Diceros bicornis minor: one gene and its partner. The protein of the gene in region 2 interacts with the protein of the main gene of each other region in a pairwise test. Links are inferred from orthologs where the notes say so. Each region holds a gene or a part of one and is shown on either strand. Other genes may lie near its edges.

Region 1 (16,844 bases), on a different chromosome or scaffold from region 2:
GTTTTACAGAATAAGCCAAGCTGACGGAGTAGCATTTTAAAGAGCATCCTGAGCATCTAAGCATCCTTAGATCGACAAGTGGTCGTAAGCTCAGAAAGAGCATTCCAATATATAAGACACTAGGCATTAAGCTATAAATGAAATGTTAAGACTTTTCCACAAGAGTTCCAAGTTTTATCCCAAAATATCTCCCATATAATCTAAAATCTAAGTACTTTGTCTCATACTTTTGGAAGCAATGAAGTCCTGGATTGCCACCACCACCGCCGGGTGGATGATGGGAACCATACTAAAATTATGCAAGCACAAAAATGGGACATATATTAAAAAGCAGTTTGATCCACTACTCAGCCTCATTTGGAATATGTGAAGGAATAGTCTTTACCTGAATCACTCTGAAAGCACATTTCTTGCCTTTATAGGATCCTAACAGAGTCAAAGAGCTCCATAATTTGACAAGACCACTGTGGAAAGATCAAGAAAGCATAAAGATTTGTCCCTGCAACACTTCTCTTGTACTTTTGTTTGTGATGCTCCAGAAAGTAGTTTCTACCAGAAAACCTAATTTAAATGAGAAAACTTTAAAAGTAAAAGCATAGTATGTCAAAGGCAGAGAAAAAAATGAAGCTCAACTAGGAATGTTTCTAAAATATACATTTCTGAGTTTGCAACCCATGACCATCAACTGGGAAACACTACAGTTGTAAGCAAATCACAAGTTTTGCTCTCTAGAGTGTAAGCTCCTGATGGGTGAATGTTCATATTCTCCCCAGTTTAAACTTCCAAAAGCTGCTCAGAGCTCACAACGACAAAACTCTTCTCACTCTCAGAAGAGAGCATTTCTGCTCTATTTCTCCATCCGTCTCTCCGCTCTGTTATACTGGAAATGTACCACTGTCTGTCGTACCTGCTACATATTCTCAAGATGGCTGATGAGGTCCTCTCTTCGTAGGTCAGGATGTCCAAGGGTAAGGCAGCATCAACCTAAGCATGGAATAATGCTGTTAGCAGACTATTATCATCATTACCCTTGAACTCTAATAACCAATCCTGTCAACTGCTTTTCTCCTCCAAAAAAGCAGTATTTTATTTAATGGTGCTGCAGTACTGAGCCTGCTTATTTACAACTTCCCCTGCCTGGAATGTTCTTCCTGGACTTCCTCATGTTGCTAATGCCTCTTCATCCTCAAGGCTTCGTTTAAATTGTTCCTTCTCTGATCCCCGACATTAAGCTCAATCGCTTACTATGCTCTTTCACGCACAGGACCCACATACTTCCTCTTTCATAATACTCATCATTCTTGCCATTAATTGTTCGACACGGTTTCCTATTAAAATAACCAAGACCATCAGTCCATGAGGCAGAGGCTATGTCTGTTTGTTTACAGCTATATCCCCAAGAACCAGGTTTTATACCTGACACATAGAAGGTGCACAGATTTTTCTTTCTTAAACTTTTTATTTCAAAAAATTAGAGTCAGAGGAGATTGTAAAGAAATGTACAGGAAGGTTCCATACACTGTTCACTCAGCCTCCTCTAATGTCAACATCTTGTATACCTATAGTACAGTATCAAAGCCAGGAAACTGAAATTGATAACCCAGAGTTTATTCAGATTTTACCAGTTACACATGCACTCATATTTGTTTGTTTGTGTGTATATGCATAGTTCTATGCAATTTTACCACGTAGGTAGTTTCATGTAACCACCACCACAGTCAAGATAAAGAACTATACAACCACCACAAGGCTCTCTCCTTCCACTCCTTTATAGCCAAACCCACTCCTCATTCCCATCCCTAACCCCAGGCAACCACTAATCTTTCTCCAGATTATATAATTATGTTATTTCAAGAGCATTATATAAACGGAATCACCCAGTATGTTACCTTTTGGGACTGGCTTTTCACTCAGCATAACTCTCTGGAAATTCAGTTAAGCTGTTATGTGTATTGGCAAGAAATTTTCACATACTCAGGTATATAGGGTAGCTATTCTGGTTTAAAACTGATTTGGCTTGCACTACAGAAGCCTGACTTATGGCCTACCAAACACACACTGTACATCTGCTTTAACCATTAAAGAATGCATTAAACATGATCTCAAAGTAAAAGAATGCACTCTTTGAAGATAAGAATGCATACTTTCCCTCCTACAATGCCAGTATCAGTAACACCCACATCAGTACTCCTGAAGTTCCCTTTCCCTGACATCAGGGTCATGTTGACCTGCTAATTTGCAACTGAATACCTCTTTCAAACTTTGATGAATACATATCCTGGGCATGTTTAATGTATGTTCTTTGTTTTAAAAAGGTATAAAACTACTGAAAACCATGTTTCTCTGGAATGCTTTCTTCCTTTGTGGAGACTGCCTTCCTGGGTTATAATGCTCAGCTTGGCTCAAGTAAAGCCTTATCTCTTTTACAGATTGGCTACTGATTATTTGCATTGACAGTATCAGTAGTTTGTTCCTTTTTATTATTGAGCCTATTCCACGGTAAGAATGTACTGTACTTTAACTATTCACCCACTGAAGGACATCTGGCTTATTTCTGCTTTTGGGTTCTTCTTAATATAGCTGTTATGAACATGTGTGTACAAGTTTTTGCGTGAACATAAGTTTTCATTTCTCTGGGATAAATGCCTAGGTGTGCAATTGCTGGTTGTATGGTAGGTGCATGTTTAGTTTTTTTAAGAAACTGCCAAACCATGTTCCGAAGTGGTTGTACCATTTTACATTCCCACCAGCAATCTATGAGTGATCCAGTTTTTCCGCATCCTTGACAGCATTTAGTGTTACCACTATTTTTCATTCAGTCATTCTGTTAGGTAGGTGGTGATATCTCATTGTGTTTTTAATGTGCATTTCCCTAATGGCTAACAATGTTGAACATCTTTTCATTCATGTGCTTCTTTGCCAATTGTACATCCATTTTAGTGAAATGTCTATTTATGTCTTTTACCCCTTTTCTAATTGGATTGTTTGGTTTTTTACTACTGAGTTTTGAGAGTTCTTTATATATTCTAGATATTAGTCCTTTATCAGATATGTGGTTTGCAAATATTTTCCCCCAGTCTATAATCTGTCTTTTCATCCTCTTAACCAAGTCTTTTGCCAAGTTTTAACTAAGTCAAAGTTAAAGTTTTTAATTTTGATGAGGTGCTTAGCAGATTTTGATTTGATAGAATATACGAATTAGGAAATAACTTCCTGAGAATCATGTCTTTGTTCTCTCTCAAAACTCTACTTGTTTTCAAGTGAATGCTAAAACAGGACTACTCAAAGTGATGGTCTATGGGAAGACAAAGAACTGCTTTATAATGTACATCAAAAATATCACTAAGCACACTGTTTAGTTCAGCTCAGTTTTTTTCATATGGAGACCTTCTCCGTAAAGAAAGCGGTGTGCTGATTTACATTCTGGTGAGAGCCACCAATGTTTGCAATGGGTAAAAAAACAGTCTGCAGGTTGCCAGTCTGGACCATACTTTGAGCAGCACTGCACTAAAACAAACATTTGTCTAACAAGTTCCTTGTCAAATAGAAGGCATATTAGAACAAACCTACCAAAAAGTCATCATTTCTGAGTCTGCTTCTGCAATTTCAAACATGGTTTTAAAGTTTTAAAATGATGTTTGGAAAAGTGTTCTTTCAGTATTTCTTACAAAGATCTTAGGAGTGTCTGATGTATCAAGTGATTCCATACCTCCCCAAACAGGTCCTTCAGGGCTGAAACAAGCAGTTGTTTGAACTGTGCAGCATTCAGTCCAACCCCACAATCTTGAAATTCTCTGTAAAAAACATTAAAAAGAAAAAATACGTTGCATTAAATTTCATGCTATTCAGATTCATCAAAAATAGAACGTAGGAGACTGAACTTACAGGCAGACTTTCATGTAGTGGTGCTCGGAGGGATTTTTGTAAACTATTCTTTCATATGTGGTAGCTGGAGCTGGCATCTTTCCCAGTGCTGATCACACCTACATTAAGAATCAAGAGAGCTAAAAAGAAGTGGTATATATACACAATGGAATACTACGCAGCCATGAGAAAGAAGACAAAATCTTGCCATTTGCAACAATATGGATGGACCTTGAGGATATTATGTTAAGTGAAATAAGCCAGACAGAGAAAGACAAACACCGTATGATTTCATTCATATGTGGAAGGTAAACAAACACATGGATAAAGAGAACAGATTAGTGGTTACCAGAGGGGAACAGGGTGCAGGGAGGGCGAGAGGGGTAAAGGGGCACCTATCTGTGGTGACGGATAAAAATTAGACTACTGCTGGTGAGCGCGATGCAGTCTAGACAGAAACTGATACATAATAATGTACACCTGAAATTACACAATGTTATGAACCAATATGATCTCAATAAAATAATTTTAAAAAAAGAATCAAGAGGGCTGGAAACTACCAAGGTACAAGCTATTTTTCACTTTTTTAATGAGAATTTGACCTATTTGATTTTTTAAAGAACTCCTAGTACAGTAACTCATCTAATTCTGGTCAAACTAAGGTTACCTGTACACACACAAAGGAAGTTTCTACATTTTATATATGCCAGACCACTGTACTCTTATTTAAATTCTAATAATATAATACCAGCAAGCATTTGTCCTGAGTACCCAGTTCTGTGCTGAACCATGTCACATGCCTTAGGTCATACGTCTTCAAAGTCATCCTATGAGGTAAAAGCTATTATTATGTCCATTTCTGATAAGAAGACATTGAGGCTTGGCAAAGATAGGTAACATCTGCCCAAGGGCATACTGATTCCAACCACTCCTGAGCCCTATCAAAACCACTCTGGTATGATGCCTCTTAATCAAATAAAAGTAAAAGCATAAAGGAGTAAAATGTGGGATCTGAAGACCCTCTTCTTGTTTACTTTCAGTCAACATACAACACGAACACAAGAATGAAAGGTGGTAGTTCTGCTGTCCCCTCCCATGCTGGATCTGCCTGTGCTCAGGCTGGAGGCGAGGCCTGCGCAGGGCTATTTGGCAGCCCTGTGAAAGACTGAGCTTAAACAGCAAGGGGTTGGAGAAGAGGAATGCCTGGAATGGGCACTCAATGCCATTTCTAACAGATCTGGAACTTTCAAGAACTCAGAACATACATACTGATCCCCCGGTAGAGAATCCCTGTCCTTGGCTCCACTCCCACCTCACTCTCCCTCTGGAGGCTCCTACTTATCCTTCAGATTTTAGCTTAAAGTTCACCTCTTCCAGGACTTTCCCTTTTCAGGGAGACCTTCTTTGACACCTTGTTCTAAGTTAGGTTCCCTTGTTAGGCAATCTCTTAACATTGTCCATTGTTTAAAGCACCAGAAAACTGAGGCCTAACCAAAGAAAGGGATTTTTCCAAGGTCATATAACTACAGACCAGCATTTACAAAAACATCTCTGGGTCAGGCCCAGTTCCAACCACTCCCAGATAACAAGCTCCAGAGAAAATGAAAAATCAGGGTCAAGGAGCTACATCCAACCATCCATTCAACAAACGTGAATATTTACTGTTTGGCACAGAGTAGGTATTCAACAAACACTGAATATATGACCGACTGAATGGTGGTAGTGTTAGCCCTCTACGCTCAAGAGCATCTTCGGTTTCAGGACTGCAGCAATAGTTACTGGGTGCTTCTTTCCCAATCACTAGTCTCCCGACCAGAATGGCAGCGAGAACAAGGACCCTCAATCATTTCATTCATTGCCTGGCACATGACAGGTGTTTTGTTTTTGTTTTTATTTTTTGGTGAGGAAGATCAGCCCTGAGCTAACATCCATGCTAATCCTCCTCTTTTTGCTGAGGAAGACTGGCTCTGAGCTAACATCTAGTGCCAATCCTCCTCCTTTTTTCTTTTCCCCCAAAGCCCCAGTAGATAGTTGTATGTCATAGTTGCACATCCTTCTAGTTGCTCTATGTGGGACGCGGCCTCAGCATGGCCAGAGAAGCGGTGCGCCAGTGCGCGCCAGGGATCCGAACCTGGGCCGCCAGGAGCAGAGCGCATTACTCAACCGCTAAGCCACGGGGCCGGCCCATGACAGGTGTTTTTAAAGTGTTACTGAATGCCTCGATGGAGTTGGCTACCCAAGGTAGGGGAATAAGACTGTTCCTGGGCTTAGGATGCCAATAACAATGAAGACTTAAGGAATGTCCTGGAAATGGATAGTAGTGATGGTCACACAGCAATGTGAATGTACTTAATGCCAACCAAATGTACACTTTAAAATGGTAAATTTTATGTTATGTATATAAAAAAAAGACTTAAGGGGCAAGTGTTTACCAAGCAGTCACCTCTCCACAGGCCTGAGCATCAGGGTCAAGGTCAGCGACAGCACTGCCCTCTGCAGGGTGTCCTGAGATTAAAGGAGATGATGCCTGAGAAACCCTCCGTACAGCCTGGCATATTCACCAGGCTCACCACAGAAATGTGAGCACCTCTATGGTGTCATCATCATCTTTGAAGGCAGCCTTTTTAATGGATGCAGGGATGCTCATTAACTGATCTGTTAGTAAGAGGTGTCCCTGCCTCACCTTCCCTCCCCAATCTAGTCTCTACAGCCTATTACAACTTATTCAAGCCACGCCATGCCTCTGCTCAAAACCTTGCAATGGTTCCCATTTCGCTCAGAGAAAAGCCCAAGTCCTGACAGCCGCCTGCAAGGCCCTCCCTGAGCTGTACCACCGCTTCCTCCGACGCTCTGACCTCAGGTCCTACCATTCTTCCCTGCTCAACCCCTTCCACCACACGGGCCTCCCAGCTCCTCCTCACGTTTCCCTCCCGCCCCTGGGCCTCGCTCCTAGCGTTTCCGCGGGCTGGGAAGCCTGTTCCTCCAGGTAGCCACACGGCTCACTCCCTCGCCTCCTTCACAGCTTTGCTCAAATCTCACCCCTCGATTTGGTCCAGTGGCTATTCTGTCTAACACGGCACCCACCTCCACCCCCCCCATGCCCCTGCTCTACTTTATTCTCACAGCACTTACCACTTTCTACCATAACTATGTAATTCACTTTTTCTTTCTTTGTACCCCCTCCCCTCCCCAACAGAATGTACCATCCACAAGAAATAGGGATCTGTCTCGTTCACTGCTGTTTCCCAAGAATCTAAAATAGTGCATCGCACACAGGAAGCATTCAATATGTAACTTTTGGACAAAGTCAATAACTTTTTTCTAAAAGCTCAATCGCCTACTGTTGGGTACTTAGTGTTCAACTTTTTTCGACTACTGTCCGCCCCTTATTTAGCGCCCACCTGGCGGCCGGCGCATGCGCTCTGTACACGTGGTCGCTCTCAGTCCTCGCAGCCACCCTCTGCTACCGAGACCGCGTCGTACGGCAGCCCGGGGAAGTTCCCGGCCGGGCCTCGCCTTCCGCCCGCGCCTCGCCTTCCGCCCGCGGCGTCCTCGGCCGGAGCGGAGAGGTACCTCCGGCCGCTCAGCGCGGCCCGCCGTCGCTCCCGCCTTGCGCATGCGCGCCTGGCGCGGGTGGCCATGCGTCTCCAGCGCGGCCAACTGAGCCCACCCCCGGGAAACAGCCGCTCTGCTGTGGGCTTCCGCCTACCCGCTCTCCGTCCGACCGGCCTGACGCCTCCCTGACGCCTGTTTGCTGCAAGAGTCAGCCAGGGCTTGGAGCTCTCACGTAGAGGCCGGTGCCTGGGCCGGAGAAACTCCGGGGTTGTTTACGTTTGGCTCGTGTCTGCCCGCCGCCCACCCCCGGATGTGTGACGTCTAGGCACGGATGTGACGTCACCGCGCAGAGTTCTAAGGACCCAGGCGTCACTCCGGATCAGGAGCTGGGAGCGCCAGGCTCAGTGCCCTCTGGTGCCCACTCCGGAGACAGCCGTGTGTAGGGATGTATGCATGGGGTCAAGGGCTCCGCGCATGTGTATTTGGCCCGGGTTCGCTTCATAGTCATGCATTTACCCATGCATTTATTCATTTAACAACTTTGTATCTAACATCTCTTCTGCTGAGCGTCTCGTAGGTCAAGCACTCCCCAAGGACAGTGGTCCTGTCTCCACACGTAAGCCCAGTTTCATCTGTGCATTTATTCAGTAAGTACTTGGTGAACGCCTATTATAAATGCTAGGTACTGGGAACTCAGTGGAGAACAAGATACGGTCCCTGCGCTCGTGAAACATAGTGTTTATATTTAATAACAATAATAATAGCAGCTAATATTTATCAAGTACTTTGTGCCAGGCGCTATGAAAACAACTTTACATATGTTATCTCTTGGAACTCGGGCACGATCCTAAGGTAGCTATTATTATGATCATCTGTTTTACAGAGGTGGAAACTGAGGCGCAAGAGGCTAAGTTACTCACCTAAGATCACAGTTGTTAAGTGGTGGAGCAGGCCGTCTGACTAGATGGTGCTCTCCACACTGCGCCACACTACCACCAATTGTGTGCTATGAGTCGGGGCGGGGGGTGGGTATGGGAGAAGGGCTGGGGCTGCCAAAACTCGACTGTAAACCCCCTTGTCTTGGAGTGTAAGCCGGGTGAGGACTGGGCCTTGTCTGTTGGCTCACCGCTGTATTCCAGTGCCTGGCACTCGACACACTTTTACTGAATGCAGTAGTTCATAAATGGGTGTGCTGATTCTGCCTGGGCTGGGGGCAAAGGGTTACCCTGCACAGCCAAGCCTGAGCCTGAGTCAGCTGGGACCTTCTCTCTCATTTCTTATCTCAAAATCCCACTATCTGCTATTTACTGAAGCTTCAATCCTTGGCTGTAGCCATGTTCTGTAGTCCTGAGGCTTCTGCTTCCCTTCCTTCTCCCCTCAGAGGAGACAGGGCTTGTTCCAGATGGGGGGAGAGGTAGAGGAAGTCAACATAGACCCACGGACAGTGACATTTCTCGAAAGAGTTTGGGTTTCAGAAGCTGCCACAACTCGCTTCAAATCCATTCTTTGCCACTTATTCCGCTTCCTCATCCGTCCGTCACACGGAGTGATCAGTCGCATCTGTCTCAGAGTTGTGAGGAAAAAATAGTTGGTGTGAAATATCTGGGACCCAGATAATGCTCTGTAATAGGGGAGAGTCCCCTAAACCAGCCACCTGGCAAACCCATCCTGCTGGGCTGCAGCCCCGAAAGACCAGAGCAGCTCGTGTATTTTGGACTTGAAAGAGCTTGAGTTAGTTTTCGCTGTCCTGCACCGGATCCTGAAATGGAAGGGGCTTCCAAGCTGCTTGAATTCTCTCTGCTGTCTTGTTAATTCAGAGTTTAGGGCAAGAGAGATACCTTTGGATGGTAAAGACAATAGTTGGTTGACTTTTGTTTTCCAATTAAATTTTATTTACTTTTTGAGTAGATACTGCAGGCATGTGGCATACACTTCAAATGGTCTAAAGGGATAAGCAATGAAAAGTAAGCTTCCCTCCCACCCCTTACCCAGACAGCCTCTCTCTCCCCAGGGGCAACCACTGGCATGAGTTTAAGTCATATTTAAACTTAGTTTCCCAGAGATACGGTAGGGGGGCCTTCCCCTTTTAACAGTGTGTCTTAACATCACTCCAAATCAGCACACAAGGCTGCCTCAGTCTCTGTATAAATTGCCCAGCGTTGCAGTGGGTGGAGTCAGTTGGCTCATTCAGGGCCATTCAGGACACTCTCTGTGTCTGTCTCTGACATTTCAGAGCAGAGTTGTTGGGGCAGAACTTCGAGTATTTAATGTTCCTGCAAGCTATGGCAGCCAAGAAAGAGTTGAGTCCACACTTCCTCCGCCTCTGCTGTGTTCAGCTCCCCTCCCTGGCCTACCTTGCAAACTGGTACCAAATGGATTTTGCTAAAGTTGAGGAGCTTTCACAACTTTGAGAAGAAAAGGCAAGAGAGAGGCCCAAGTAAGATCATAGTCCCTTAGCATCCACAGCCACAACTCTCCATCAATCACATGGGAATTGTATCCGCTTGTGTCAGCAGATTGTGAAGATAGGACAAAGAAGGTGAAAATGATCAGAAGTGAAAAGCTACGAAACTGCAGCTGTTTCCATTCAGGGAGACCTGCCAAGTGCCGGATAGCTTGCTTGCATTATCCCATCTACTCTGCAATGTCACTATTATTATTGCCTTTCACAGATGAAGAAAACATATTCAGAGAAGTTAAGTCATCTGTCTAAGGTGGTGAGAGGCCCCAGAACCTAAAATGCAGTATTCCATCCCTGCTATGTGATGACAGGGCTGGGAGCTGCTCCTTTGAGGCAACCCTGAGCATTATCTCCAAACAGGAAGCTTTGAAAAGCAGGCCTGCTGTCTAGTCCCTAGAGCCAAGCCTGACACAGGGAGCCTCATGGAAGTGATTTATTGGGGGATGGCTCTCATGTGAAACATGTAAGGGAGGAGGGAAGCAGGATGGGGCAGGGGAAGAAGCTAAGCAAAGATGTGGGTTCAGCTGAAGTCTAGCCTCAGCCTGATCCCATAGGAAGTCCTGGAGCATAAATGATATCAGAAAGTTTCCAGCCTTGGAGGTAAGGGGCCAAGTCTTACTACTCCCCCTCAGTCCGTCCTTGACTGCCAGCTGCAGGGTTGCCAGATTGAGCAAATAAAAATACAGGTTGCCCAGTTAAATTTGAATTTCAGATAAACCATGAATAGGATATCCTTATACTAAAAAAGTATTCACTGTTTATCTGAAATTAAATTTAGCTGGGCGTCCTGTGTTTTATCTGGCAACCCTAGGAGGTGAGAGGAAGAGAATAGAGCATAACCTCCCAGGCAGGTGCTGTCATCTGAGGGCAGTTCTCTGGGGGAAGGGGCAGCTGTGAGCCCTCAGCAGCCAGCTCACAGCAGGTGAGGGTTGGGTGCAACAGTCAGTAGAGGGGACCTGGGAGGGATGGCAGCAGCATCCTCTACAGCAGGGACTGCCAGGGCAGCTCACCAGTCACTGGTAAAAAACAGAAGCTCCTGCCCAGACTGCCAAGTCCAAACCATCCCCATCAGCAGGTGAGCAGCAGGACGCCCTGCCCCAGCCCCCAGCCCCCTCCCTGGCTGTCCTCTGAGGGTGTTTTTGCTCTTTTAGAGAAATTCTCCTGCTTGTGTTGGGGCTGGAGCCGAAGCCAAGCTGTTTAACTTTGTCTCATCTAGCATTTCTGAGATATATTTAAATGATGGAGGAGACTTTCCTGAGAAACCTCTCCCCAAGAAAAGGGCTCCAGAACCCAAGAAAGGGAGAATTTGGGGAGGGGATAGCCACTCTGTAATTAAGCAGCCAGTTTCTGGAGGACCCTAAGATCCTTTCTTAAAATTCAGACATCCTCTTCCAGGGATTCAGAGGGGTCCTTACAAAGATGTCACCCCCCACAGCACACACACTTTCTCTGGAGGACTCTGCATCCCCATTACAGGAATCTGTGGGTTCTGACCTACAAAAGCTCCAAGATATAGAGGTAAGTGAAAAGAGCAAGTGGAGGTGGGGGGGTGGGCAACAGTAATGTCCAGCATGGCTCTGTTTATGTAAAAAAGAAAACCCACAAACTGACTGCAGTGTCCTCTCTGTTTATACGTATGTATGTATGTATGTATGTATGTATGTATGTATAAGCCCCCATACACATACATAGAAGGGTTCCAAGTGCACTGATGGGGGAAGGGTGGGATTGTGCAGAACGTGTAGGAGATGCTTACATTTTTTTAGTATACGTTTTGTTTGATTTAGTTTAAAGTGACAGGGCATCATTTTTATAATACTAATAATTGTTAAATAAAAATCAGGACTTGCCCCTTATGGTCACAAGAGGGAGCTGTGGACCGCACCGTCTGCCTGCCTCTCCTACCTTGGAAGAATAGGCTCCTCCTCAAGATGCTGCTTCCCACTCCCACCCCCCACCCCCAAGGCAGGAGAGATGGAACTAGAAATGCCGGCTGGCCATCCTTTATCTGCAAGCCTGAAATCCAAGAAAAATCTGCAAACGAAATCTTTCCTCATCTGGCACCAATACTTAATCTGAACTGAGGTGAAGCTTTTTATAGCTTTTGTCCCATTTACTGTGGATATTCATACATTGCACAGCAGAAATATGAATGCATTTGATCATGTAAGGCAGCCCCAGACCCCATTAGAGGTGTTACATAATGTATGGTTTACACACCACGATACCTTTCTAAAATTGGAAAATTTCTGAATTCGGAATCACATCTAACTCTGTGCACTTTGACATGGGAGTGTAGACCTATACTCACGTCAACAGTTGCACTTCAGTGACGCTTACCCACCCCTAGCCAGCTTTGACCTTGGGTAATTGGGATTGTAGTGCCACTTTCTGCCCCTAAGAATCCTTCCAACTCCTCCCATCCCCTGCTGGAGCTTAGCATCTTCCTAGGTGTGCCCTAAGGTTCCTGGTCATTGCCTTGAGGGTTTAGATACCAAAGATCCAGAAACCAATGAAGGAAAGGTTCTTCCCGGAGCCGAGGGGGAGAGGCTGTCCTCTTGCTGAAAGGAGCCATCAGGTGTCCTCTCCCTTTCCCCGACTAGGCTAATGATGGTCACACAACCCCCTCATTCTGTCACAGGCACAGGCAGCCCAGGCCCACATCCTGGTGATTTCCAGCCCAGCAAGCAGCAACACTGGGCCCCAGAGCCCCAGGGCAGCAGGGGTACCTGGACAGCAGCCCAGCACTGTATCCCTCTGGCTCTGACCTTGGTGGGTAATTGGAGGACATCTCCACTGCCCCATCTGTGACCACTCCCACTCCCTCCACAAAACCTTCTATTTTTTTGCTTCCTTTCAGGGAATGGAGGGGTTGTATGTGCGTCATCCAATTTTGGGGTGGATGGGAGGGGGAGGGAGAAGAGGCTGATGAGAAAGCCCAGTCTGTATGTTAAAGGAGTGATGTTGGAAGAGTTAAAAGATGAAGGATCAGAAGAGCCAGGCTGCCCACTGTTAGGGGAGAGTGTGTCTGTGTGTGCCTGTATGTGTGGGTGGCAAGAGACAGACAGATTGGATGTGAGACAGATAAAGTGATGAAATGGAGATGGGGCGAGGGAGGGGAGGAGGGGAGAGAGAGACTAAGAGTGTTAAAAAAAAATTGCTCCCAAACCTGGGCAAAGACTATTCCAGCAAACATTTCTGAAACAGACGTAATAAACTGCCACTTTTTTGTGTGTGTGTGAGGAAGATCAGCCCTGAGCTAATATCCATGCTAATCCTCCTCTTTTTGCTGAGGAAGACCGGCTCTGAGCTAACATCTGTTGCCAATCCTCCTCCTTTTTTTTACCCCCAAAGCCCCAGTAGATAGTTGTATGTCATAGCTGCACATCCTTCTAGTTGCTGTATGTGAGATGCGGCCTCAGCATGGCTGGAGAGGTGGTGCGTCGGTGCGCACCCGGGATCCGAACCCAGGCCGCCAGTAGCAGAGCGCACGCACTTAACCGCTACGCCACGGGGCCGGCCCTGAACTGCCACTTTTAATAAAAGACTTCTTGGTCTAGTACAGGCAGTCCCCCAAAGCAGAAGGCTGGTACCTGTGGATGTTAAAAGCTGCATACATCATTTTAGAACAATGCTAATTAACCAACCCATGATTGTCCTGAGATCGATATCCAGGGCTTGGAAAGTAGATAAGAGGACCTAAATTCAGCATTTATATTTAATTAAAACCTACAATTTGTCTGAAGACAGTGGAAAAGCCCCTGGCTGGTAAGAAGTCCAAAGCGTTGACCTTCCCTTCAAAGGGTGCCTGAGCTGATCCCAAGCAGAGCCTCGCCTGCTTTTGGAGTGGCAGCTAGGAGCAGGGCCACATCTCTTGATGCTTCCCACGCCTGACGCTGAGGGGCAACAAGAAAGACAGAGGAGACTTCTCCTCTCCAGAAAACTGCTTTGGACAAAAACACTGATGATCATTTCCAGAGTATGGGGGAGGGAGGAGGCTATCAGCAAGGTGAATGAGCCCTCCAGGGAAGGCTTGACATCAGTCCTGGGTATTAAAGACACTGGAAGGATGAGGGCAGGCTGTTCCTTGAGGCAGCCTTAGCAGGATGATGGTGGAACCCAGGTGAGCTTGTTTCCTGCCTAGCAGGAGGCTGGGCAATGGGATGTCCTTAACTATTTGCTGAGTGAATGACTGGGTCACTTTCCAAGCAGAGGCCCGAGGTGTGGTCTCAGTGATCTGTGGCTGAAGCTGTCACACACTGGCCTGGTCCAGGTGGCCATCAGGGCCCCAGGCTCCACTGGAAGTCGGGCCAGAGAACTCCTGCCTGAACCGTGAGAGCATTCTCTTTGCAAGTCACCTTCAATCATAAACCAAGAGGCTTCTCTCTACTTGTTATCTGTCTGACCTTGGGCAAGATACTTCACCTCTCCATGTCTCAGTTTCCTTGGCTGTAAAATTGGCACAGGTCATAGGTACTTCTTGGGGCTGTGTGAGAGCTTGATACGGTGATACATGAAAAACATTTAGAATATGCCTGGCACATCGTCACAGGATTCAGTCCTCCAGCCTGGCCTGACATTATAATCTCAGCACTTTCTAGGAACTTCCTTTGGATAAAACAACAAGTAAGGTTCCCTGGGATGGGGAATACTCATCCCCATGGGGCTCAAATGGGAGACAGACTTACACACACGGACAGCACCGTCAAGCTATGTTTCTTGCATCAGTCACTCCTGATGTCGCCTCTGCCCTGGACAAGAAGCCCAGACTGACGGCAAATTGAGTCCTAACCACTGCCTGTCCCTCAGCCTCTTCAACCTGCCAGGAGGGTCCACCGTGAGCAGCCCTGAAGGCCCGACTCCAGGCAGTGAGATCAAGAGCCCACTTGTGATTCCTGGGGCTTTCCATTGTTATTTCAGAAGCTTCTGGCAGTCTTTCAGGCAGGGCTGTGATGAATGACCCCTTTCTTCTTTCCAAGACTGTCATTAAAGGCACACACCACAGGGCCTAGCTGGGTGTGGCTTGGGGGGCAGGCAGCTGGCAGGAACTAGCAAGCTCTTCATAATCACAAAGGCAGGAAGCGGGGTGCCAAAGGGAGCCGTGCTTTACTGCTTTCGAGTCTTCCTAGCACGGTGAGACGAGAACTGCAGGCCCAAGGGAGAACCATGAAAACCCACTTGATAGGTCTGTCAAAAATGACTCAGGGCCGGCCCCGTGGCTTAGCAGTTAACTGCGCACACTCCGCTACTGGCGGTCCGGGTTCAGATCCCAGGCGCGCACCGACGCACTGCTTCTCCGGCCATGCTGAGGCTGTGTGCCACATACACAACTAGAAGGATGTGCAGCTATGACATACAACTATCTGCTGGGGCTCTGGGGGAATAAAAAAAAAAAAAAATGACTCTTTCGTATGATCTGTCCGTGACTCCCAGTCGATGTTTTTGGGTGACAGCAGAGGAGTGGGAGCTGATTCCTCTGCAGACCCTGCCACTGTCCTTCCAGCACACGCCCCTGCCTGGGTGACCCCACTGTGGGTGCCCTGCAGCGGCTCCTCTGGATGTGATCCTGAGCTGCTGGTCAACCCAGGGCATAACATTTCCTGCACCTAGTAGGGTTTCTGATCTGAGGTACTTATCCCAGGCCTGGGACTTCTTCAGTGACTCTGGAAACCATCTCTCATCACCCAAACCCACCAAGACTGACGCCCTCTCCCAGAACCTCACTAAGCTCGGAATTCTTGGTGAATATGGGAGATTAGAACAAGCAGCATGTCTAATATCTACTTTCTTTTCTATTTCATTGATTTTTGCTCTCATCTGTATTATTTCCTTCTATTTTTTCTAGGTTTGATTTATTATTTCTTTCCAACTTCTTTTTTTTTTTTTAAGCAGTTTTTTTTGTGTGTGTGTGAGGAAGATCAGCCCTGAGCCAACGTCCATGCTAATCCTCCTCTTTTTGTTGAGGAAGACCGGCTCTGAGCTAACATCTATTGCCAATCCTCCTCCTTTTTCCCCCCAAAGCCCCAGTAGATAGTTGTAGGTCATAGTTGTACATCCTTCTAGTTGCTGTATGTGGGACGCAGCCTCAGCATGGCCGGAGAAGCGGTGTGTCGGTGCGCGCCCGGGATCCGAACCCGGGCCGCCCGTAGTGGAATGCACGTACTTAACCGCTAAGCCACGGAGCCGGCCCCTCTTTCTAACTTCTTAATGTGGAAGCTTAAATTATTGATTGTCAGCCTTTCTTTTTTTCTAATGTATGCACTGAGGCCTATAAAATGCCCTCTGAGCACTGCTTTAGCTGCATCCCACATGTGATACATCACATTTTCGTATCTTCTTGTTTTTAAGATCTATGCTCCACTCTTCTCTGATAAATTAAAATATTCAGACCAACTCCCAGATTCCAATGTAAACTATAAAATTCACCTCACTTTATTTCCAGAACTACTTGGCTGCAGACTCTCTGTAAAAAGATTTGAAAGAGTGAAGGTCCTGGGAAGTTTAGAGTTCCTAAATGCAACAGAAGAGAGTCAAAAGGAACAGTCTGATGACTCTTGCCTTTTGTTTCTGATATACCATTTCAACTGAATAAAAATTGCAAACATGATTTCTTAAAATGAAACAAATAACCCACCCAAGCAAGGTCTTCCAGTGCCTGTAGAATAAGTCCTAATTTAAAAAGCGCTTTTTAAAGTTAACAGAGAATCTGCCAACATTGCATTTAATTAGGAGCTTAGAAATAGAAACCATCTGCATGTTGCTGATGTAGACTTCTTAAATTTATTTCATGTCATTGTGATCACTTTTACACCTGTTTAGACTTATTTTCAATCACATTATTGTTCACAGAATTCACAGAATTCATTAACAAACATTACATCCAAGGGTTTTCAGTAGCACAGCAAGATAGAAAAGAGGCCCCCGAGGTGCTTGTGTGTGGACCCCGAGTGACTGTTTAGATAGA
Region 2 (15,795 bases):
CCGGCCCAATTGCATAGTGGTTAAGTTTCTGCGCTCCGCTTAGGCAACCCGGGGTTTGCAGGTTCAGATCCTGGGTGCAGACCTAAACGCCACTCATCAGGCCATGCTGTGGTAGCATCCCACAATCAAAAAATAAAGGAAGACTGGCACATGTCTAAGCTCAGTGACAATCTTCCTCAAACAAAAAGAGGAAGATTGGCAACAGACATTAGCTCAGGGCCCATCTTCCTCACCAAAAAAAAAAAAAAAAGTGAATCATGGGGCCTGGCCCTGTGGCATAGTGGTTACATTCAGCACGGTCTGCTTCAGGTGCCCAGGTTCACAGGTTCGGATTCTGGGCGCAGATTTACACCATTTGTCAGCCATGCTGTGGCAGTGACCCACATACAAAATAGAGGAAGATTGGCACAGATGTTAGCTCAGGGTGAATCTATCTCAACAACAACAAAAAAAGTGAATCGTGGGTTTTGTTTTAACTTAGATATATACGTCCTTTAATTACGCTTCTTTCATTTGCATTACCCTTTAATGCTGTCTACAAAATATAGACATGTTATTTTTCTTTGGTTCCTTCCATTTAGAAATTTTCATTCTCTTTACAAAATAAATGTAAGCTTTAAAAAATTTCATCAAAAAAAAGATGAATAGAAAATCAGAGAAAAGATAGATCCAGGAAGACTTGTGTATTTTTTAGTCAATTTTTTAAGACCAGGACCATTTTGAAATATAAGTGGTACATGCACACCCCCTAGTGGGGAATCTGTTCCTCAATACAAATTCCACGAAAAGGAAACTTCTTTGCTTTTTCGAGGAACAAATTGGACAATGTCAGCTTCCATAGTCAGTAGCTGAAGGACTAATTAAAAGAAAAGTTAAGTTCTTCAATTAAAGAAAAACAGATAAAAGCAGCATTCATTCCTTGACTGAGTCAACATTTATTGTCTGATACATACTAGGTATTGTTTTGGGAGCTCTTTTTTAAAAGGACACATTAAGTTTGAGATCCTATTGGATATCCAAATGGAGATGGCAGCTAGTCAGATACAAGTTCAGGAGAAGATCCCTCAAGAGGAAGAGTAGATAGAGAAGAAACCCGAGGACTTACCCCAGGATGCTCCAACATCCTGAGGTCAGGGAGAGGAAGAGAAACCAACAAGACTGAGAAGGAGAGGCCACTGAGTTAGGAGGAGAACCAAGAGAGATTGGGTGCTTAAAGTCAAGAGAAGACAATGTTTCAAGGAGAAGAGATTGATGAACTGAGTCAAATGCCATGTAAGGCAAGAACCATTTCAGTGGAGCGGTAGGGATAAAAGTAGACTGGAATGGGTTCAAGAGATCAGGAGAAGAGAGGAAATGGCAACTGGGAGGGCAGACAACCCTTGGAGTACTTTTATTCAAAAGGGTAGCAGAGAATTGGAGCAGAAGCTAGAGGGACATTGTATTTAAAGAGAATCAAAATAGGAAGACGTAAGGAAGGCTTTTACTGAAGAATTGATAGGATGCATCTTATTCTGCTTTTTCTAATGCTCTGTAGACTTTCAGAAATCCTTCTATATTCTTCAAAATAATATCGGAAATGAAAATTTCCATCACGTCCCATGTTCATGTCCCATTTCCAGGCAAGACTATACGTGATTCATTATTTCAGTCATTCAATAAACATGTACCAGCTACATATTAATAGGCACTGTGCTGAGTGCTAGGGATGGATAAAGAAGGTAAGTTCTGCAAATGTTCACTGCCTGTTAGAAGAGACAGTGCAGTGTGAAAAGCCTAATAATATAGGTATGAACCAAAGATACTGGGGCCCAGAGGAAATAGGCACTGGCCCTGCCTGGGGAAACCGAGGAATTCACAGAGCTAACATTTCAGCTCAAGTAGAAATTTCATTAGTAGACTGGAGGAAAGGGGAGTGCAATGCCAACAGGATCCCATAAATATGTGGAATACTTGCCAAACCTGTGTCAGGTAAAATGCATTGGAAGTAGTAAATGTAGACTTGTTGGGGGCAGATCATAAGGAAACATGTGTGCCATGCAAGGTAGGTATCAATTTTACTCTGCGTAAGAGGTGTCACATTATTTTTCTAAAATTAAATTAAATATGACGCTGAGCCCCCGTTCTACTCATCTGATGGGAAATTCAACTCCAATCATTATTGTGACCTCCTCGACCCCTGCCCCACCTCCAGGTTGCATGATGGACATGGAGTCTTGCACCCAAAGCAGAACATTCCAGAAGGCTGCTCTGGTTCTCACTGTTGTCCAAGCCCACGTAATCCCGTGAAGCAGCACTGTGCCTCCTTTGTCCTTCAGGAGGATGGGAACATTGGTTAAGCCTGGACACCTAGGGTCTAAGGCCCAGCCTCTCTGGGTACCTGGAGCATCCATTCCTCCGACAGTTTTGCCCACTTCCCTGAAGATTCCTACTACATGAGGAAAAGCAAACCATGTCTTCCCTATAGTTAGGAAATTTGTTCCTTTCCTTTTCCCTCTGGCTTTCTGAAACCTCCTTCAAAAAAAAAAAAAATCGCCAATACTCTGTCCCTACTGTTACCTGGCATGAACACTTAAATGTTACTGGCCTGGAATTTTGCCCTCCAGGGTACATTTGGCAATGTCTGGAGACATGTTGTCACAGCTGAAGGGCTGCTACTAGCATCTGGCAGGTAGAGGCACAGGACAACCTCCCACAACAAAGGATTATCTGGCCCAAAATGTCAATAGTGCTAAGGTTGAGAAACTGTGTTATAGACTACATTTTAAATTGAAAATGCACAACTTGAGAAATAAAAATATTTAACTGATTTTTAATAATTCAATATTCCTTGGATTTAGACTAGAAATTTAATGCATTTCTTTTTTCTGAACCAAAATAAAGTGCTGAGTTGTTTTTGTGGGTTTTTATTATTATTATTTTGCACTGTTGTATGTAGTACAGAATTTAGCCTTGATTCCTCCAACTGAAAGCAATATTTAGTTTTATTCACTTTTTCATAACCAAAGACTATTATGCAGAAATATTAATACTTCTGAACATGGATAAATTCTTTGCACAATGGATTTTATATTCAAGGCAATAATTCTCAACTTATAAGATCCAAAACCCCTGGTTTTGGTTTTAGTTCAGGCTGCTGTGACACACTACCAAAGACTGAGTGGCTTAAACAACAGAAATTTATTTCTCACAGATCTGGAGGCTGGGAAGTCAAGATCAGGGTGCCAGGGTGGGTTCTGCTGAGGACCCTCTTCCTGGTCTGCAGACGTCCGTCTTCTTGCTGTGTGCTCACATGGCGGAGATCAGAGAGAGAGGAAGCAAGCTCTCTCATGTCTCTTCTTCTAAAGGCACTGATCCCATCATGAGGACACCGCTCTCATGACCTAATTGTCTCCCAAAGACCCCATCTCCAAATGCCATCACATTTGGGATTAGAGTTTCAACATATGAATTTTACGGGTACACAAACATTCAGTCCATAGCATCCCCTTTTAAATAAAATATTTTGTACTGATAGAGGAAAGAATAAGTAAATATGTATTTAAGTATGTGAATGCCAGGGCACCACTGTATCAAAAATGTAGTAGTTAGATGCCAGTATCTACTTCTAATAAATATGTTTAGATTTTAATATGTTTAAATTTACACTTAAGATAACTAACTGAATATTGTCAATACTTCTAATTTACATGTATTATTTTGAAGTAAGGGCTAAATACGTATACATATTTACTTATGTATATATGATTACATAGATTATATATAAAACGATGATATACATATATGTGTGTATATATATTTGTATGTATGGGTATGTGTGGTAATGTGTTTATATATGAATCACCATAAATGTGACTGCTATAAATGCAGTGATACAGGTGTGCTGCATTGAAAACCCAAATAACAAAAGCAGTGTTGCTGCAATGACATGATTTTTTGAAATGGGGAACAACTCTTATAGTTCTCGTGTAGTTCCAACAAACTCTTATAGTTCCAAGCAAAGCAAAGTACAGTCTTCCCTCTATTTACTCAATAGTTACATTCCTGGAAAATTCAATGCGTATAAAAATTGTGAAAAAATTGCTGTGCATTTATATATAAAACCTTTGTAGGTTCTAGGCTCAGATAATGATAAACAAGCTTTATCTCATGTGAATATCTGGCAGGATATTCAAAAGTCATGCAAGACGAGGGACAAGTGTTCATTGTCTAAGACTTTCTCATACACTGTGGGATAGTTAGCATCCCTGGCCTCTTCCTACTAAAAGCTAGAAGCTAAGAGCAACCACCTCACTTCTCAATTATTTTGACAACAATAAATTTAAAACAATAAACTATCGTGACAAGCAAAAAAATACCCACACAAATTTTCAAATGCCCCCCTGGGTTGGCTGGGAGGTGGAATAGAGGGTATCAACACTGTTGTGGAACACTGATTTAAAGAAGGGTTCAGCAAACATTTTCTGTAAAGTTATATACATATGTCCAGATAGTAAATATTTTAGGTTTTATGGGACGAGGTGCAAAATTGAGGCTATTATGTAAGTGCTTAAATAGCAAAGCTTCTTTTGTAATTTTCATTCACATTAATGATATTAATTGAAAAGGGCAAATTAAGCAGTATTATCATAAAGTTTATGATAAAGTTTAAATCAGAGTACCTTTTTTGGATTGTAGTCTTCAAGTCCACAATTTGGTGCTGCAATTTGAAGTTAGACCATAATTTTCATATCTGGAAACCAGTTTCTGTGCAGCGAATGAACTGGATTATTCCTAGCCAGATGAATTTTCCAAAGACACAATTTTTCTATATATGAACAAATTAGTTTGTATGCTTTTTTAAAGGCCAGGGGAGGGATTCAGAGTATTTAAATGGCTTATATCATCAACTGAAAGAACCAAAATTGTTAGTCTTCACTGATGAACTCAGGTGGAGATTTTTTTCCTTGCTAACATTAATAGGTAAATTTCTTTCAGCAGTTCAAAATTTTCTCAGCATCCAGTACAGCTATTTGGAGCATGAACCATGTGTGTGTGGGGGGGGGGGGGGGTGCAGGGTTAATTACCATGGCTGTTATTTGTATAGTTTTTAAGTTTAGAGCTCAAAGTGGTTTCTGGTCAATAGTACAATAAATTGGCTAAAATTCTGTGTCTTGACAAAATCTTGTCAGATTGTGCTTATGTTTCATAAGTCTGGTGTTAACACTAACCTCTGCAGGAGTCCCATCTGTAGTCATGGTTACTTATTCTACCAAGTCTACTTTAAAATTCTCAAAATTCTTCTCCATACACAAAAATAAGCCACTTCCTCAAGATGTGCCTTTTTGGGCACCATTTCCAAAAGATATTTAGTCATGTCAAAATTCTCAACAACACAAATAGCTTTTATATATCTACTTGCCTATCAGCTGCAATAGAAAATGCCAGAAATAACTTAGTTTTTTCATGTATTTTATTCTGCAAGTTCTAAGCTATATTTCCAACATACTGAGCATAGTTATTACGTTTGCAAACGCTAGCTTCTGTTTAGGACCTGTTCTTTCTTTTGCCTACAATAGACATTCTTTGTAAACTTGCCTTTGGTAAAAAGTTTTAGGTGCCTGAGCAATTTTTTTTTTTCCCTTAATATGAAACAATTTCAAGGCAGGATCATTGTGATGGTTAGTTTTATCTATCAGCTTGATTGGGCCATGGGGGCCCAGATATTTGGTCAAACGTTATTCTGGGTGTGTGTATGAAGTTTTTTCTGAGTGAGATTAGCATTTGAATCAGTAGACTGAGTAAAGCAGATTAACCTCCCTAACACGAGTGGGCTTCATCCAATCAGTTGAAGGCCTGAATAGAATAAAAGGGCTGACCCTTCTTCAAATAGGGGAGGATTCCTCCTTCCTTACTGCCTTCAAGCTGGGACAAGGCCTTTTTCCTGTCATTGCATTCAAACTGAAATATCTTCCTGTTCTTAAGCCTCCCTCCCTTCAGACTGGAACTACACCATCAGCTCTCCTGGGTCTCCAGCTTGCCAACTGCAGATCTTGGGACTTGTCAGCCTCCATAATCACATGAGCCAATTCCTTTCTAAAAATCTCTTTCTGTCTCTCTCTCTCTCCATATATATATACACATATTATTTATATATAGATATATACTCTATACTGTGTATATATATATATACTCTATACTCTATATATGTGCTTTATACTGTCTCTATATATACTATATATACTGTATACTAATATATATACTCTATATGCTGTATCTGTATATATACACTCTATGCTCTATACTCCATCTCTCTCTCTATATATACTCTATAGTCTCTCTATGTATACTCTCTATGTATATACCCTATATCTACATATATATACATATACTCTATTCCCTCTCTCTCTATATATATATAATATACATATATTCTCTCTCCCTCTCTCTCTCTCTACATATATATAAATATATATATTAAATCTGCAACTTTGACTGAGTACCATCCACTTTGTGCCAGTTCTGGATACACTCCAGACTTCTGCATCTTGTTACTCCTCAATTCCATGCATCAAAATTTAATTCAAGCATTACCTCTTCCAGGAAACCATCTTTTATCCTCTCCAAATCTCCCAAATTTCCCCCTCAATCTGGGAGAGAAGACTTTGCCAGATTCTCCTGACACCCCTGTGCAAATCATCCAACACTGCTTTCTTGCCTTGCCCCACCTCAGCCTTAAGCTGCCAGAGGACAGGGGCCTGGTGGAGTGTTTCTCGGTTCCCCTGGGAAGGGTAAACCAAATGAAAAGAGGATAAGGACAAAGACTAACCGAGCACAGACTGACTTTTAGGGGCCAGCCCAACAAACAGAGGTCTTTCGGGAGACTGAGAAGGGTTTGAAGGTTCTTTGGATCCCATAACCCACTCTCTCTTTCTAAGCATCCCAAGGAAGAGGAAATGACTCAGGAGCCCTCCCCTCTGAGCGCAGGACTCCTCCTTGATCTAACAGGAATAACAATCTCTCTCTCATTGACTGGTTGTGAGGATTAAGTCAGATAATGGATACAAAGTACTTAGAATCGTACAGTAATATTAATTTCCAGTCAGAAATTTCCAGAGTCTTCTTCAAACTCCAGGTCCTTGCTGCCTCAGCTACTCTTCCAGGCCTACTTCTGACCCTTCTTCCCTCTTCCTGTCCCCTATCACATCCTGTCTCTTCCCACTCCTCCCTCCCCTCTTCCACCTCCTTCCTCTCCTTCCTCTCCCTCCCTACTTCCTCTTTCCTCTTCCCACCAGCTCTCTATTCTCTTCTTCCTTTCCCTCATCTTCTCTCCCTCCTCCTTTCACATCCTCCAACCCTCCTCTCTGCTTGCTTTACCCAGGAGACAGTACACAAAGTGAGAACTAAACCAAACCGCCTGGATCCACGTGTAGTTCTACCAACATTACCTAAGCCTTAGATTTCTCAGATGTCAAACGCAGATGTTGCTAAAAGATAGTACTTAATTTTTCTTTGAAAATTAAATAAGATATGTAGGTAAGTACTTAGCAAATTGGCTGGCCCTCATTAAAGTGCTCAGTGACTGTTACCTATTCATTTTCCTTGTCACCCTTTCTCTTCCTCTTCACCTAGGCCCAGGGTGAAGATGAGCAAAGAACTCTAAAGGCTACAGTTCACAGCAACAGCATCATGACTTTCAGAGAAGGCTTCTTTAGTCTAATGCTGACATCGAATAATTACGTATCTCATTCACCTTCACCACACATCAGTCATATTTCTGACCAATCTAGATTTTGTGGTCATAGATGAAGATGCCTCTATGATCCTGCAAAATTAACTAGATTTTCTGATGATAAGCAATGGGATTGCTTTGTATGACCTTGTTCTATTTGCAGAACTCAAAATTTCTTCTATTCTTACACAGGAAATAACAAGTATTGGAAAAAGCAAAATATTTCTTCTTTATAAAAGTTAACCAAGAGGAGAATTGCATGCTACTACATGGAACAGATCCCTCTTAAAATTCCCTTCTAAGACCAAGAAAGAAATCATGTAAAGGGGTACTAATTAATGTGTGGCCCACAGACCAGAGACTATCTGTCTACTGTTTGTGATAAGTAAGCACAGAAATTGAAAATGTTTAGAAATTTTCACAGCACTTTGGCCTTGTCCAGATATCCAAGCCCCCAGTCAGTGGACTCTTCCTATTCAGCTCAATATAGAGCAGTCCAGAAGTTGTCAAATGAGTCTTCTGAGGCCAGAGGTGCCTACTGGTAGTGCACAAGGGACCACATACTGGTCTGTGAAGAATTGGGGGCGGAGGGAAACTGGACCTTCATCAAAGATAGTTGAGAAGCACCGACGTAAACTATAGTTCCACAATTTTATGTTGTCGGATAATTGATTTATCAATCTTTAAGAGTTCATTTATGCGAAGTCCAAAAATGTGGAAACATCAAACGCGTGGGATATACACCACCTTGTACATTTCTCAGATGGAAAACTGTAAAACATTTCAATTTTGCACTTCCTTTATCAAACCTGTCTTGGGCTAAACCAGTGATGGAGTTAACAGCTCATCCTAGAGAGAGCCCTGCCATCTTGTGGTTGAAGATGTTGACTGTGACAGAGAGCAGCGTGCTGCGACACCGTCAGTTCTGACTGGGCAAAAAGACCCTTTTCTCGGGCAGTCCTCTTTGGAGGTCTTCAGGTCGGTTTCCTCCTCTTCCCGATAAATCCATTTTAAACATCAGACTAGACTATAGGGGAACTAAGGAAAAACAGGTTCCCTATGACTTTTTAAAAGCGTTTCCATCCCCTAACAAAAGTGTCTGGTTCATGGTAGGCGCTCAATAAATCCTGTACACGTGCATTTCGAAAGACTCACTTTCTACATTATTTTATAGGAGGAATGCTGGGAGATTTAAACCCCTTCGGGGGAAACCAAACATTCTCATTCAGAAGAAGACAAAGAAGGATTAAAACGATGCCACTGATTTCAACACACTAATTTTGGTAGTACTTGAAGGCGAGGCAAACTCCTGCCAACCTCAAACTAAATAGTCCACTGGAGGGAGGCACCGACCACGCAGGTAAACTACAATTCCCAGAGTGCCTGAGGGGGCGGGCCCTGCGGCTGCGCAGACGGGCGCGGGCGTCATGTGACTTCAGCATGGCGGTGTTTGCCGACTTGGATCTGCGTGCCGGTTCGGACCTGAAGGCGCTGCGCGGGCTCGTGGAGAACGCCGCTCATCGTGAGTCGCCCATCCTCGCTGCCCACTAGACAGTCGGGCCGGGCTCGGGAAGGACCCGGCAAGGCCGGGACTCTTTCAGGTCTCCTGGGGTCTCTGGGATGTCCCTGGAAGCTGATGCCCGCCGCGGTGTTGCTTTTCCTGGGCGCGGGAAACTCGAAGGCACTGAGGAGCTGTTACCCACTCCAGCTCCTTCTTTCCTATAAATTGAGGAAACTGAGGCCCTGAGAGGGTGGAGGATTTGCATAGGGCCCCACAGCTGATGGGCGGCAGAAGCCAGGGATTCTGAGTGTACAGTCTCCTACACCAGTGCTTTTAATATCACCCCTTCCTGCCTCTCATGACAGTGTCAGCACAGACGAGGAGTGCTGTGGGGGCTCAGAGAAGAGGAGGAGGGATATGGGGGTGCGAGTGTTGGAATAATATTATTTAGAGGGTGGGTAGGTGAGGGCGGGGGACATAGCAGGCGGGTGGGAGGGGAGCAGCATGGCCAAAATGCTAGGATATTACTCATGTTTGAATCCAAGGGAAGCGAAAGCCGTGAGGGGTAAGACCCCGTTTTAATTATTGGAGTTAATCGTGACTGCTTTCTTCTTTCTCATATTGTGAAGTGTGGGGATAGAGAGGTTTAAAAATAAAGAGGTTTCTGCAGGGCCAGTCAAGTAGTGGGGGCCCAATAAATACTTGAGGGAGGAAGGAAGTTGGACAAACTGATGAGAGGGAGGATCACTATTTTGGCATTAATATTCATTATCTTTTAATATTAATATCGTGTCGTCCCCATTGGTGTTTAATAACTTAAAGATAGGAGTCAAGATTTAGACATGTTTTTGGTAGTACAAATGTCCAGAACAGTGCTGTGTTGCTGATAAAACAAGACTCTGGCCTCAAAGAGTTCCCAATCTATTGATGGTGGGCAGCTCAAAAGGGGCAGTGGGCAGTGGTGTGAGGAGTCATTACTCCATTTTTCCTTAGGAAAGGGGCCTCTGAAGGAAGTAGAAAGGGTAAAAAGCAAAAGAAATGAGCGAGAATAAAGGTGACAGTGAAAAGGTATAAACGTGATGGGATGAAAATGAAAAGAGAGATGTGAAAGAGAATGATGGTTGAAAGGAGAAGCGCAAAGTTAAGGGTTTTTAGTATCATGCTAATAGTACATCACAGAGGTCACATAAAGCCCTGACTACGTGCCAGGCACTGTTGTAAAACATCGTACCTGTGTTATTTCATTTAATTCTTGTGACAGACATATGGGGTAAGTTCTGTTATTATCACCATTTGACAGATGAAGAACCTGCAACTTAAGGTTAAGTAACATGTAAGGGGTGATGCTAGATTTGAAAGCAGGCAGTCTGACACCAGAGCCCAGACCCATAACCATTCTGCTGACTACGTTCTAGTCTTGACATGAATTGGGATGACCCTATGTGTACAGGAAAGATAGGTGGTTATATTTAACAAGAATGTTCAATTTTTCTTTTCAGTGGGCTATTCAGTTGTTGCCATCAATCATGTTGTTGAATTTAAGGAAAAGAAACAGGTAAAATACAATTTCTGAAGTTAATAACCAGAATTTATAATTATTTGTGTTTATATTGGTAATAAGGAAGTTACAGATGAGCATATTTCTTAAATGTACTCTGTGCACTGTCTTATTTTGTATGTTAACATTTGAGCTGATGCATATTTGTGCTAGTGATAAAGTTTTTTGTGAAGTACTAAGGTGTGGGGTAAGGATTTTTAAAGTTGATTTGATGTTACTTAAGTAACTTTCAATAACTTATAAAAAGTGCATTGTTATTGACTGAACTGTAATCACAATATTTAGTCCTTTTTATTTTACTGTTATGGACTCATTACTCGTTGATTTCCCCCTGAAACATACTGATAAATATGTATATTTCTCTTTTGGCCAACAACTGTACCTTATAGATTATTTCAGTCTAAACACTAGTTTTCATCTCTCCTGTCCATTGATATGCTCAGCTACTTCTCTGCTCTTCAGCTTTCTTCCTTTAAAAAATAAACAGAAAAAACAAAAAAACTTTAGTGTTTCTGAATACCAGAAGTTAGCTTTCTCATTTTTTTTTTTAATTATCTTTCCTGAAAACCTCTTGTAAGTTTTCCATTTCCATAGGCTCCGTCCCATTAACATGTACAATCTGGGGTGACTTTTGATTCTTTGTTGTAGGAAATTGAAAAACCAATAGCTGTTTCTGAACTCTTTACAACTTTGCCAATTGTACAGGTAGGTGTTTTGTTGTTTAAGAAGCATAATATCTATTCATTCATTCAAACATGCCCATTTATATGTACAGTTCTCTAACCTGCACTGCCCCTTCCTCTGTCGACCAGTCTTACCTTTCCATCAAGACTCAGCTCTTCTCTGAAACATTCTCTTACTATCGATTCAGTACTTTGATGATCCTCTTTTCCTGAAGTCCTACAACCTTTAAATTATTTCATTATGTAGTTTAATGTATGTACATCTTTTTTTTTCCTCTCGTTGTATCATAAACTCGTTGAGAATGAAGACTAGGTTTTACTAATCTTCACAATCCCTTATTGCTGGGACGTTTTAATGAGTACTTTCCACTGATAAAGAGGAAAATCAATAGTTTGTATTTTGTGCTTTTTCGATAGCATGTTTTTGATTATAGGGAAAATCAAGACCAATTAAAATTTTAACTCGACTGACGATTATCGTTTCGGATCCATCTCACTGCAATGTTTTGGTAAGTTAATTATTTTTCTTCTCTCTTTTTGGCCTTATAAGTTGTATTGACTAATGTTGAACGGTGTTGTTTTTCAACTCACCCTCTTCTTACATTGCCCCACTGCCTCCCATGTGTGACACCTGCCTGCTCTCCCTATCCTCAGAATTCATATAGTATAACAAAGTCTCTTCTCCTCGTGGCACATGTGTAGGGATACCACAGTTAAAGATTCCTTTGGCCACTGTTATTGAACTCACATGAACCAGATATAAGGTGGGTGCTGGAGATATTGCTGTGAAGAATACAGACACAAATCTTGAACTTATAAAGTTTATAGTCTAATTGGCAAGACAAACACTATACAAATAGTAATTAAAAACACGAGGAAGATTTAAAAAGTGGGAGATAGTAAATAAAGGATGCTCTGGGAGCATGTAACAGGGCAGCCAACGTGAGGAGGTTGATGTTCAAACTGGGGCCAGAAGAATCAGTAAGTGTTATATACGTGGAGAGAGTGTTCCCACAGACAGGATGGATTATGCAAGGGTCTTGAGGCCAAAGAAACATAGTGTGTTCTGGGAAATGAAACACCACCAGTAGAGCTGAGCCTAGTGAGCTGGCTAACCTGGGATGAGGTTAGAGAGGTAGGTCTGGGTGAGCAGTGGAAAGCCCCTGAAAGTTTTAACCAAGGGAATAAAATTATCAGGTTTGCATTATAGAGAATGGGTCAGAAGGGGTTAAGGAGGGGCTTTGAGGCATCTAGGGGGAGGATTGACAGGATTTGAGGGTGGGTTGGATGTAGAATGATGACTCCCTGGCGTAGCCTGAGCAACCTGGAAGGTAGATAAGGGAACCATTTCCCGAGGGGAAAGCAAAGAGAAGCAGGTTTGAGGGCATCGTTTTTGGGACACAATAGATTATTATGAGAGTTCCAGGGGAGTTTGTTAAATGGGCATTTGGGGGATAAAAGGTGTAGCGCTCAGAAAAGTGATCCCAGTTAAAGATACTGATTTGGAAGGGGTCGCCCTGTAGAAAGTAATTGAAATCATGGGAACAGATGAGACTCCCTGATTAAAGTGTGATGTGGGAAGAGAAGGTCTGGGACAGAGTCCTGAGGAACTTCAGCATTTAATGGTGGAGTACAGGAGGAAGAGCTAGGGACTGAGGAGGGACTCTGAGAAGGAGAAGGACAGCGTGGAAAGTGAGAAAGGAAAAGTGAGGAAGGGTCAGCAGCATCAATGTGCCTGAGTAGAGAAGCAGGAGAAGGGCTAAAAAATGTCTTGGATTTATTGATGGGGAAGTCATTGGTTGCCTCAGCAAAAACCATTTCCATGGAAATGGTAGGGATGTGAGAAAATGGATACAGTGTGATGGTGACTTTGCTTGAGAAATTTGACTCCATAGGGGAATGGAAGGCATAGAGAGGTTGGTGGATGAGACCTGCTGTCTAGATTTTGTTCTCGAGATGGGAGAGACTTGAGTGTGCCTGCTGGTGGGAAGCATCTAGTTGGGGAGAGAGAATACAATGTTTAGTACACAAAGTGTAACAGTGTAGGAAGGAAGGGGGATGATTAGTGGAATGGATGTTGGTATCTGAATTCTCATGGGCTTCAAAGGTCTTTTCTGCCAACATACAAAACAAAGCAGAAATGTCCTCGGCATATGAGAAGTGTTACATGATTGAAATTTAAGTACAGCCGGGCCACTAGTCAGAATTCCATGTGTATACTTGTTGTTACTCCATGATAACATTCTTTTTGTGTTCCCAGAGAGCAACTTCTTCAAGGGTCCGGCTGTATGATATCGTTGCAGTTTTTCCAAAGACAGAGAAACTTTTTCACGTAAGTAACAGATAGTAAAAGAAAATAGTATTTATTATTTTATGTAAGAAGTCTGATGTTATGCCTTTGTAGGTGACTTGTTTTGCCCCATCTGGAAACTTTCAGGATTTTTCATTTATACTTGGAGCTCTGGAATTCCACAAGGGTATTTAGGTGGCATGTGTTTGTTTTGTTTTGTTTTATTCATACTGCTAGATATTTGATGAGCTCAGATTGAAAAAGTCCATCAAGTTTTTCTTCTATTTCTTTATGTCTGCTTCATTCGTTCATTCATTTGAAACTTCTCTTAGGTAAATGTTGTTCCATCTCTTTGTAGCTCTAAAATCACTTCAGTTTCTGCCCTTCTTACTGTTTGCTGCTGCCTATGAGGGAAGAAAGGTACAAGGTTCTGCTGTGACATAAAAGGTCCCATCTCTCTTTCAGCTTTCTCCTTTGCATGCTCTGAGGTCTGGTCCACATGCCAGCATGATGATGTCAACCTTCAGTCTTCCAGAAATTCCTCAAAATCAACCTTCTGCTGATACTGTTTCCCATTGTGTTCTGAGAGCCTTTTCAAATTTAATTCCTTTTATACTTTTAAAATTGCCATTTCTGTGACTTTTCAGGAGAGAAAGTTGTTTAACATGTATGCTCATTTTGTCAACTTGAGAAGACCACCTGGGCATTTTAAATGATTACAGAAAAAAAAAATCAACTGTAATAGTTTTTCAGGAGTATGTTTTACTGTGTAAAATGAAGTATAGCTACTTTAGGAAGTTCTGAATGTTGGCTTTATCTAGGTTCAAAAAATAGCCATCTGCCAAAAGAATATCTGCAAAAGGGATATTGTAGGAAAAAAAAATGTACTGGTCTTTGATGTTTTAATTTTACACCATAGTTCTTTTTTAAGCAAAACCTGTTCTAAAATTATAGAAAGATTTTCTCTAAGTTTATCCAGTAGATGGAGCTGTTGACTAAGGAGGCTGATGTGTCGTAAATTTAGTTTTCAAGGCATGCTATCAATTCTTAATTGTTTATATTAATGCAAGGAAACAGCACAAATTATCCATGAATGCCCTTTTTTTTGGTGACTCCCTTTATAAAATGTTCAATTATAGTAATTCCCAAAAATTTCATTTCAGGAAAAGAGGTGAGTAGGATAGAGTGGTTCTTACTCATCAGAGACCCCTGTGGAACTGTTTAAAATCAGGCAGGTTCATATCTCCACTACTGGAGATTCTGATCCAGTAGCTTTGGGGTTGAGTCTGGGTATCTGTTTTCTCAAGTTCCACAGAGGATTTTGATTCATTGTGGAAACCTTGAGGTGGACCATGGACATTTTCAAATTTGTTAAACAGCAACCTAGTTTTGTTGTTAAATAATAACTCAAATAATAACTCAGTTATAATGTAGACTAAAAGTTGGCAATGTGCCCAATTTTTTGTTGTACATTTATTTTTTGAATTGATTTTGAAGAGCACGCAACTTACATTTCCATAGCCATTTACTGGTAATTAGAGAAACAAAACATTTAACAAGTCACACAGCTGAGAGGCATACATTTATATATTCTTCCAAAGGCTTTTACGTATTTATTACTTCTAACACAACAATCCTGGGGGTAGTCAGGACAAATATTTATTACTATCCCCGTTTTGTAGAAGAGAAAATTGAGACTTAGGTTAAATGATTTGCTGCAAGTCTCGGATTGTATGTAGTAGAGTTAGGACTTTTGGGTTTTAGAATACATTATAATTTCATCTAGTGATTTTGTCTTATTTACTTTTAGTACTTGTTTTTCTCAGATTATTTGAAAGTTTGAATTCAAAAGCATGAACACATGCTTGATGATGGGGTGGAAATATTTTGGAAGATGGAAGAAAGCTATAAATAATTCACAAAGTATTTGTTTGCAATTGACTGTACAGGTATACTCAAAAAGTTACATAAAAACAGTTTTTAAAATTGGAACATCATCTTATCTGTCCCAATCTTACCCATTCTTTAAGACTCAGCTGAAGTTATCACTCTCTT

What was found.
Region 1: the proteins of RPP30 (region 2) and RPP14 interact in binary tests that used the Homo sapiens proteins (3 or more experiments, as listed by UniProt). The link is inferred for Diceros bicornis minor from reciprocal best matches to the Homo sapiens genes RPP30 and RPP14.

Annotation. Positions count from the first base shown.
Region 1 is NC_080741.1:58,208,427-58,225,270, reverse strand, and holds the start of RPP14 (ribonuclease P protein subunit p14), read right to left. Parts: upstream 7,389-16,844; 5' UTR 7,266-7,388; intron 6,370-7,265; 5' UTR 6,297-6,369; intron 3,984-6,296; 5' UTR 3,963-3,983; coding exon 3,886-3,962; intron 3,795-3,885; coding exon 3,710-3,794; intron 985-3,709; coding exon 908-984; intron 465-907; coding exon 386-464; intron 1-385. UniProt on the Homo sapiens protein: Component of ribonuclease P, a ribonucleoprotein complex that generates mature tRNA molecules by cleaving their 5'-ends.
Region 2 is NC_080745.1:56,932,508-56,948,302, forward strand, and holds the start of RPP30 (ribonuclease P protein subunit p30), read left to right. Parts: upstream 1-9,131; 5' UTR 9,132-9,148; coding exon 9,149-9,230; intron 9,231-10,708; coding exon 10,709-10,764; intron 10,765-11,415; coding exon 11,416-11,472; intron 11,473-11,884; coding exon 11,885-11,959; intron 11,960-13,710; coding exon 13,711-13,782; intron 13,783-15,795. UniProt on the Homo sapiens protein: Component of ribonuclease P, a ribonucleoprotein complex that generates mature tRNA molecules by cleaving their 5'-ends. Also a component of the MRP ribonuclease complex, which cleaves pre-rRNA sequences.